Cricetulus griseus: one gene and its partner. Each later gene encodes a partner of the first gene's protein in a complex. Links are inferred from orthologs where the notes say so. Each region holds a gene or a part of one and is shown on either strand. Other genes may lie near its edges.

Evidence for each region. The genes of interacting proteins can lie anywhere in the genome.
Region 2: Taf12 (region 1) and Taf8 share a complex: the UniProt entries of both Homo sapiens proteins name them as parts of the TFIID basal transcription factor complex. The link is inferred for Cricetulus griseus from reciprocal best matches to the Homo sapiens genes TAF12 and TAF8.

What each region holds. Positions count from the first base shown.
Region 1 is NC_048595.1:20,972,244-20,976,457, forward strand, and holds the start of Taf12 (transcription initiation factor TFIID subunit 12), read right to left. Parts: upstream 2,804-4,214; 5' UTR 2,570-2,803; coding exon 2,567-2,569; intron 1-2,566. UniProt on the Homo sapiens protein: The TFIID basal transcription factor complex plays a major role in the initiation of RNA polymerase II (Pol II)-dependent transcription.
Region 2 is NW_023276806.1:256,843,549-256,847,293, reverse strand, and holds the end of Taf8 (transcription initiation factor TFIID subunit 8), read left to right. Parts: intron 1-978; coding exon 979-1,118; intron 1,119-1,386; coding exon 1,387-1,399; 3' UTR 1,400-3,183; downstream 3,184-3,745. UniProt on the Homo sapiens protein: The TFIID basal transcription factor complex plays a major role in the initiation of RNA polymerase II (Pol II)-dependent transcription.

The sequences.
Region 1 (4,214 bases):
ACTCAGGGGTCATCAGTCTTGGTGGCAATCAATCATCTTTACCAGAAGAACCATCTCACCTGACTTTTTCTTTTCTTTTTTTTTTTTTTTTCAGAAATAGGCTCATGTTGACTTGAACTTCTGAAATTCCTGCCTCCCTCTTCCAAATAATGGGATTTCAGGCAAGCACCATGACACCTAGTGTCCACAACATCCAGTGCATGTTAGCAGTTAACTGGAAAGTTAATCTGATTACAGATATCTTACTCTATTGTAAGGAAAGAGCCTAAGAGTCTATAAATGTTCCTTTTTCCTTTTTACCTTGAATGCCTATGCTTCTGTAAAAATGCAGGAATCAGATCTCAAATACTACACTACAGAAGTAGTGAAGTCTTTGACATTAAAGGGAGTTAAGAAGGAGATGAGGAGGCTGGGTGTGACGGGTGGTGCAGCCTTTAATTCCCATCACTCCAGAGGCAAAAGCAGGTGGACCTAGAGTTTGAGGCCAATCTGGTCTACCTAGCAATTTCCAGGGTGGGGGGAGCTAAATGGTTGGGAAAGGAGGAGCAGGGCAAAGGAGGAGAGGGATGTTATCTATTCAATGGCAGGCTTTGTATGACCTTTCTTTCTATTTTGTTGACAAGCAACATAGACAAGGAGGGGAATATTTTTTTTTTTCTTTTGGTTTTTCGAGACAGGGTTTCCCTGTGGCTTTGGAGGCTGTCGTGGAACTAGCTCTTGTAGACCAGGCTGGTTTCGAACTCACAGAGATTCTCCTGCCTCTGTCTCCCGAGTGCTGGGATTAAAGGCATGCACCACCTCCGCCCGTCGACAAGGACAGGAATTCACTTAGAAAAGTTCAAAAAAGTTTTAGGGTCACATCTGGGGCTAAAGCACTCAGTATTATGACATTTAAGACAACTTTCTTCCTTCCTTCCTTCCTAGACAGGGATTCTCTGTGTAGCTTTGGAGCCTGTCCTGGAACTCACTCTGTAGACCAGGCCGGCCTCGAACTCAGAGATCCGACTGCCTCTGCCTCCCTAGTGCTGGGATTAAAGGCATGCGCCACCAACGCCCGGCTCATGCAACAAAGTTCTTAATCTCTTTGAACATACTTAAACTTACAATACTTAACTGTGAAGCTGTGATAATGAAGTGATGGAATACTTGAAAGTGCTTAAATTGCTATCTGTGGTGGCACACACCTTTAATCCCAGTACTTGGGAGGCAGAGGCAGGCAGATCTCTGAATTCGAGGCCACCCTGGTCTACAGATCGAGTGCCAGGACAGCCAGAGCTCCACAGAGAAACCCTGTCTCAAAAACTAAACAAAAAGTGCTCAGTTTGCCGGACTGACGGTGGTGGCGCACACCTTTAATCCAGCACTCGGGAGGCAGAGGCAGGAGAATCTTTGTGAGTTTGAGACCAGCCTGGTCTACAAGAGCTAGTTCTAGGATAGGCTTCAAAGCCACAGAGAAACCCTGTCTCACCGCCCCCTCCCCCAAAAAGAAAGTGCTCAAGTTGTGCTTGATTCACCTGAGGTTTCAGTCATGAATATTACGAAGGGAAATGGCTGGTCCAAGTCACACTTCTAAAAGCAATCCCTAGCAAATGTTCCTGCTAAAAATATAGGCCACGTTTACTTGTGACTTTCTCAACAGCTTATTGAAAAATAAAATGGATTTCACTTAAAGGTTTGCTTCCTCACTTGTGACATTTACTGTATCCATGTCAATGTTATAATAGTAACCCAAGTATTAAAATCTGTACAAATGCCCCTTCTGAGTCTGAGGGTATTTGCTGCACATGGAAGAGTACTGAATAACCTGAGAATTGGCTCACCGAGACCCTAACCCTTCTTTGGACCCTCCTTTCCTTAAATGTAAAAGTATTCAAAGTGATCTTTTGATGCCCTTCCATCTGTGACAGTTTGTGGGTTCAGAGATCTGTACTCAAAAGGGCTGAATGAAATGGGGCTTAAAGCACTTATCAAGCATATAACGGGTCAAACTGCTTCCAACTTCATATCCGATTCACAATAATGAAGAAGAAAAACGAAGATGTCTCATGAGGGTTTTCTAGATTTGAGTATCTGACAGAGAAAAGTCTAACTGCAAAAAGCCAGATAGGCAGCGACAAGAAGTCTTTCCCCGAATATATCTTTCATCCCTTTGGGTACAGAGAACAGATTGCTCAATCTTTTCAAACCTCTTTCCCTTAGAGGCTGATCTACCAGCCACGATCCCTTAGATCCTCCACTTTTAAGAGCTCGGTCCTCACAGCCCTGTCCCTTCAGGAACACTTGAGTCTGAAGAAAGCCCCGATTCCGTCCCAAAAGAAGACCCAGTCCTCACTGCCCGTTTCTATTCCCTCCCAAATTCAAGTCTTCTCTGCTCGCTTCTGTCTCTCCGCTCCCTAAGTCTTTGCTGCCCGGTTTCTGAATCCTCGGGAGCGGGGACTTGGCTGTCCCGCTTCTGTCTCTTAGGAGCCCGAGTCCTCTCGCCGCTCCACTTTTACCTCTCTGGAGCCCGTGTCTTCACGCCCCGTTTCGTTCCTACCCTCGCCTCCTAAAAAGTACCGGTCCTCACCATCCAGTCCCTCTCAGACGGCTTTCCCTCAGATGCTGCAGAACTCACACACGTCCTCGTCCCCTAAGTCTCTCTCGTTCGGAGCCCGAGTCCCCAACAGCCGCTGCTCCTGCGAGCCCGAACCCTTCAAGTCGCGTCCCAAGAGCCTGGCTCCTCACAGCCCCGTCTCTCCTCCACAACCTAGTTCCTCAGCACTGCCCCTCTGTGGGTCTGGGTCCTGACGCCCTCCTCCCGCTCTTCGTCCTCCACTGCCAGGGCCCAAGACTCACAGGCAGCAGCGTCTATCTCCCCATGATATGCGGAGACTGCCCCAGTGAAGCTTTCGTCTCAGCAGCCGGTCCGACTGCGCGGCCCTCCCCAAGCACTTCCGGCACCGCTCCCCGCCTCCAACCCGGAAACGCGCGGCTCTTCCGGCCGCCGGGCGCGCGCCCGCCTCGCGCAGGCGCAGACTTCGCTCCGACACGTGGTTGAGCGGTGAGGCTGGCCGTGGGCTTCGCTCGCCGCTCGTGCTCTCCGCTGCGTGCGGCTGGCGTGGGCGAGCGCTGCGTCTCCCACCTCGGCGTGGGCCCCTGCCCTAGGTGTTTGTTACCGGATCGTGTCTCTGAGTGCTGCGACCGGTAACCGACGGCCTCGGGTGGCCCCCGAGTCGCCATTTTTGGTCGGTGCCTTTGTGTGGCTCTGAGGATGGGACAGCGATTCCCCACAGGGGAGCTGGCGGCGCGAGAACTAACTCGGGGACCAGAGAGGCTGCTTGGGCCCGTTAAATGGTAGTTTAAAATAGCTGAGCGAGAGCTCTCTGGGAGGAACTGCTTAAGCCCCCACTGGCAGTACGGCGTGTAACCGCGGAGGACACCTGTGCGAAGTTTACCAAGATTCCACCCAAGAGACGCAGGGAGAATTCACTCCAAAGCCTGGGTTGGTCCTGTAACCGTTAAGCTCTGAGCTTTGAGGTTCTTTTTAATCCACTAGATGCTTTGGGTTAAAAAGAACCCTATTCCAAATATACGAGGTATGTAAGCAACACGCACGCGGTTTCAGCATCTGACAGGGTTCCCAATAAAATGGAGACCCCACACACACGTGTATAGAAGACATCTCAGCTATGAACGTCCACAGGAATTGCGAAGAGCTTCACCGATCCGTCCCCAGTCTTTTATCTTAACATCCTCGTACTATCGGTCTCATCCAAAGCACTGAATGCTTTTTCTTTCTTTTTTTTGGATTTAATTTGTGAGTGTCAGGGTTTTGGCTTTATATAATATATATATATATATTGTGCATGCCTGGTACACAAAGGAATCAGAAGAGATTATCTGAAGCCTTGGAACTGAAGTTACAGATGATTGTGAGCCACCAAGTGACTGCTGAGATTAAACCCCGGGTCCTCTGCACCATTAAACCAGCTCCAGCCCTAACCTTTTTCTTTTTTTTTTTTTCCTTTTTTTTTTTTTTTTTTTTTGTTTTGTTTTGTTTTTTCAAGACAGGGTTTCTCTGGCTTTGGAGGCTGCCCTGGAAGTAGTTCTTGTAGACCAGGCTGTCCTCGAATTTACAGAGACCAGAGTGCTGGGATTAAAGGTGTGCACCACCACAGCCCAACCCTAACCTTATTTCTGCATTCTTTGAATTTCTGCATTTACTAAACCTTTTT
Region 2 (3,745 bases), on another chromosome or scaffold:
TCTGCTGCCACTGCTCACTTTAAAGAACAAAAATAAATTAAAAACAAAGAATATGCAGCCAGCCTGGTCTCCAGAGCGAGTGCCAGGATAGGCTCCAAAGCTACACAGAGAAACCCTGTCTCGAAAAACCAAAAAAAAATATATATATGGAAAATAAAGGAGAGTATAAACATTAATAAGGAAAGGAAAGTCAATTACCCATGCATCCAGGACACTTTCTAAATTTAAATTATATATATATATATATGGTCCAAAATCAAACTTTGCTAAAAATTAATAAAGCGCCCGATTGACAGGTGACAGGCATTGACAATATGTACGTGTGGTATCTGCAGACTCTGCTTTGCCTTGCTGGGCTTCACTTCAGAATTCCAGAAGTTCTGGAATATGCTGGAATATGGTTATTTGTCCTTGTTCTAAGTGCAAGAAATGAGAGATTTTGGATAAATGTGTTAGGACTTACACTAGTTTGGGCCTAGAAGAGACCTATTCTGTTCCCTGATTGGTTCTGACCCTGTGTCTCTTACTCCACAATACCCATGGCCACTTCCTTTTGTCACCCTGTTGCGTTAGGCTTCCTCCCTGAAGCATATAAATTCTAACCCTCACTCCAACTTCACGCCCCCCACCTTCTGAAGAGACTAAGGACCCTGGAGTCTTTCACTTTGTCAAAGCTCCCTTTAGAGCTAATTACTCCCCAGGTCTCATTGAGTCTGCGGATGAGATGGTGACCCTGGAAAGACAGTGGCTCCATCTTCTCCTTTCTCAATAAAGAGACCACTTGTGGCTGTGGGCAGTGCAGTCTCTTCACACCACTGGCGGCTGTGGCTGTGGCAGTGCAGTCTCTCTCTCTTCACACCACTGGTGGCCGTGGCTGTGACAGTGCAGTCTCTCTCTTCACACCACTGGCGGCTGTGGCTGTGGGCAGTGTCTCCTCACACCACTGGCGCTCTGCTTTATTTCGGCTTTTACTCAAAGGGTGACTCTGGAGCTGAGAAGGAGAACGCTTCTGTACTGCAGCAGAACTCCTCCTTGTCTGGGAGCCGGAACGGGGAGGAGAATGTCATTGATAACCCCTACCTGCGCCCTGTGAAGAAGCCCAAGATCCGCAGGAAGAAGTGAGTTGGAGGCTGGGGTCCAGGCCTGCCCCAGCTGCTTGTTGGTTCTTGGCAGGAACAGGCTCACCAGTGGGTGCAAGCTTGGCATGCATTACTTGGGCAAGAGGAAGTCATCTTCCTCTGCCTCTCCTCCTTGGCTCCCATATGTACTTGCTGCACTTCAGTGCCTGTGTCCTGCAGCCAAGACCACCCTGCCAGCCCTAGAGCTGCTCCCTCCCAGGAGAGCAAGAGGCCCCCTGGTAGGCTCTCTGGTTCTTCTCCTTTCCAGGTCCCTCTCTTGAGCTGAGATGGAAACTGCCCTGTAAGGGAGAGGACGCCGCTTTCCTGGGGGCGTGAAATCAGAGGGAAGAAGAAGGTGACATCCTTTTGCCCTTGCCCAGGCCATATCATTTTAGTAGCAGCCTTCTCTGAAGACATCCTGTTTTGCAAACAGGCCAGGGGCTGCTGACAACTTCATTGATTAATCACAGGACTTGATTCCTTTGAAACCTGGAGGGCCAGGGAAAGTGGCAGGAAAAAAAGGGTCCACTGCTTTGAGCCCTGCCAGGAAGACTGCCAAGTATATCTTCCAGGCCACCTGGATCCCCTGCATTGACTCACAAGAATCATGGCATTGATTTACCAGCCCAGAGCCTCATCTCACTTCTCTCTGCACCTGGGCTCCAAGATCCCTGCGGAGCTGTTGGAAAGTGACTGTGTAACCCTCATTGTGCTAGAAACAGGCCCACACTGCAGCTTTGATCTGGTGCTGGCAGCAGCTAGAAGTGCATGTCTTAATGAAGATGACAGTGGCCATCAGAGTAGCCTTGAATCTCTGACCAGCATTTCATTAAAGCTGGCCACAGTGGGGGTCATCCCCTTTGGAACATGTGTCTTCTGGGAATGATGGTCTGACCAGAGCCTGGGGTGTGGTTAGTTCTCCTGGGACTGATAGAGGAGCCATGGACTTTAAGCACCAGGAAGAGGACTTAGCAGGTGGGGGTGGGCTTGTTTTGAGGGCTAGGCTTAGCTGAGAAATACAGCTGATGGTGGAATGCCACAGTCTACACCAGAGGAAGTGGGCTGAGAGGGTCCTGCTGAGACCAGACATGTCAAGAAGCGAGTCTGCCCCGTCCACCTGCACCTCCCGGGAAGAAGACGCCATCCTTCACTTTCCCCACTAATCATGTAACATGCCTCAAGGAACACACTGTGCAAGTTGCTGTCCTTGCCTGGTTTTGGAAAGTGGTGTTGGAAAACCAAATCCCAGGAAGAATGGATGGACATGTGGAAATTGACATGAAGTGGCTAAGTCCTTCCTTGGATTGGAACTCTGAGCCTGTGTTTAATATTTCTCTCCATACTCCACCTTGGTGGCTGCTGCTTTTTCACTCTGTCACCCGACACCATGTGTGTTTTTGAGAAAGGATCTTGGTCTATAGCCCAGGCTATCCCAGAGCTCACTGTGTATCCCAGGCTCAGTGGTCTTCCTGCCGCATGCTGCGATTAAGGTGTGAGACCTGGCTCCCAGCACCTTCCTCGCTCTACTCTGGAGTCTTTGGTCCTTTTGCCTGGAGGAAAAAAAGCTCAGTCTGGAATTGATGAAAGGACACGAAGTGGTGAGAAAGTGAGATTTCTGGGCCCTGAACCAAACAGGAGTATTTTCATAGTGACTCAGAACTTCCAGGTCAGAACAAGACCGACACGACTGGATTGTGAGACTTTGTGATATACTTCGCAGCTCATGGCCCATCATCTGAAACCCAGTCCCAAGGTCAGATAGGAGCTGCCACACCTTGCTCTTCCTGCTCCTTCTAGTTCCCACACTTCTGTACCATTGTCACTGTCTGAAGCCAACGCCTGTTGGACATGTAGTGGGAGGTGGGGGTAGGAGGGGCTCCTGCTGCCCTGACCTCAACCGCAACACTGTGATTTGACCTGACTGATGTTGTGTTGAGGCATAGAATTCTCAATGTGTATCTATATATTTCTATTTTTTATAAGTTGGGAGAGGCTTCTTAGAGGAAAAATAAAGTGTCATTTATGAAAGCCTGTAATAAAATTCATAATAAATCTTAGTAAATTATCTGAACCTAGGGCCTTTCAAATGACAGGTAAATAAGTACTATACACTGCTTTTCTTGGGTATAAAACTAGCTTTTTTTTTTTAACTTTTAGTTTTGAGACAAGGGCTTACTAATTTCTAATTTGCCCAGGTTGGCCTTGAACTCACTCTGCAGTCCAGGCATACCTTGAATTTGACAAGTCTTTTGCCTCAACTGCCCCAAATTAGAAAGTGTATAAAACCCTAAAGAGTCTTCCACTCTCAGGAAAAATATCTATAGGGGGAAAAAAAGAAAGATTCCTCACCCAACTTCAGAACTTAGCATTTTGTCATGTCTGTTTTATCTATTTTCCTCTAGTTCTTCTTCCTGTGAAGTTTCTGTTGTTGTGTTCAGGTGCTAGGGCACAGACGGCTTGTGCTTAGTTTGTGAGCACCTGTGTGCACGCTCTGCCCCTCATCTAGACCCTAGACATCTGCAGTGGGTTTGTTTGTTTCTTTTAATTTCAGTCCTGCATCCCTTACTCTGTCAATGTGTCAGTGTATATCTGTGATGAATCTTTGAATTTTCCTTTTGAAGGAATTA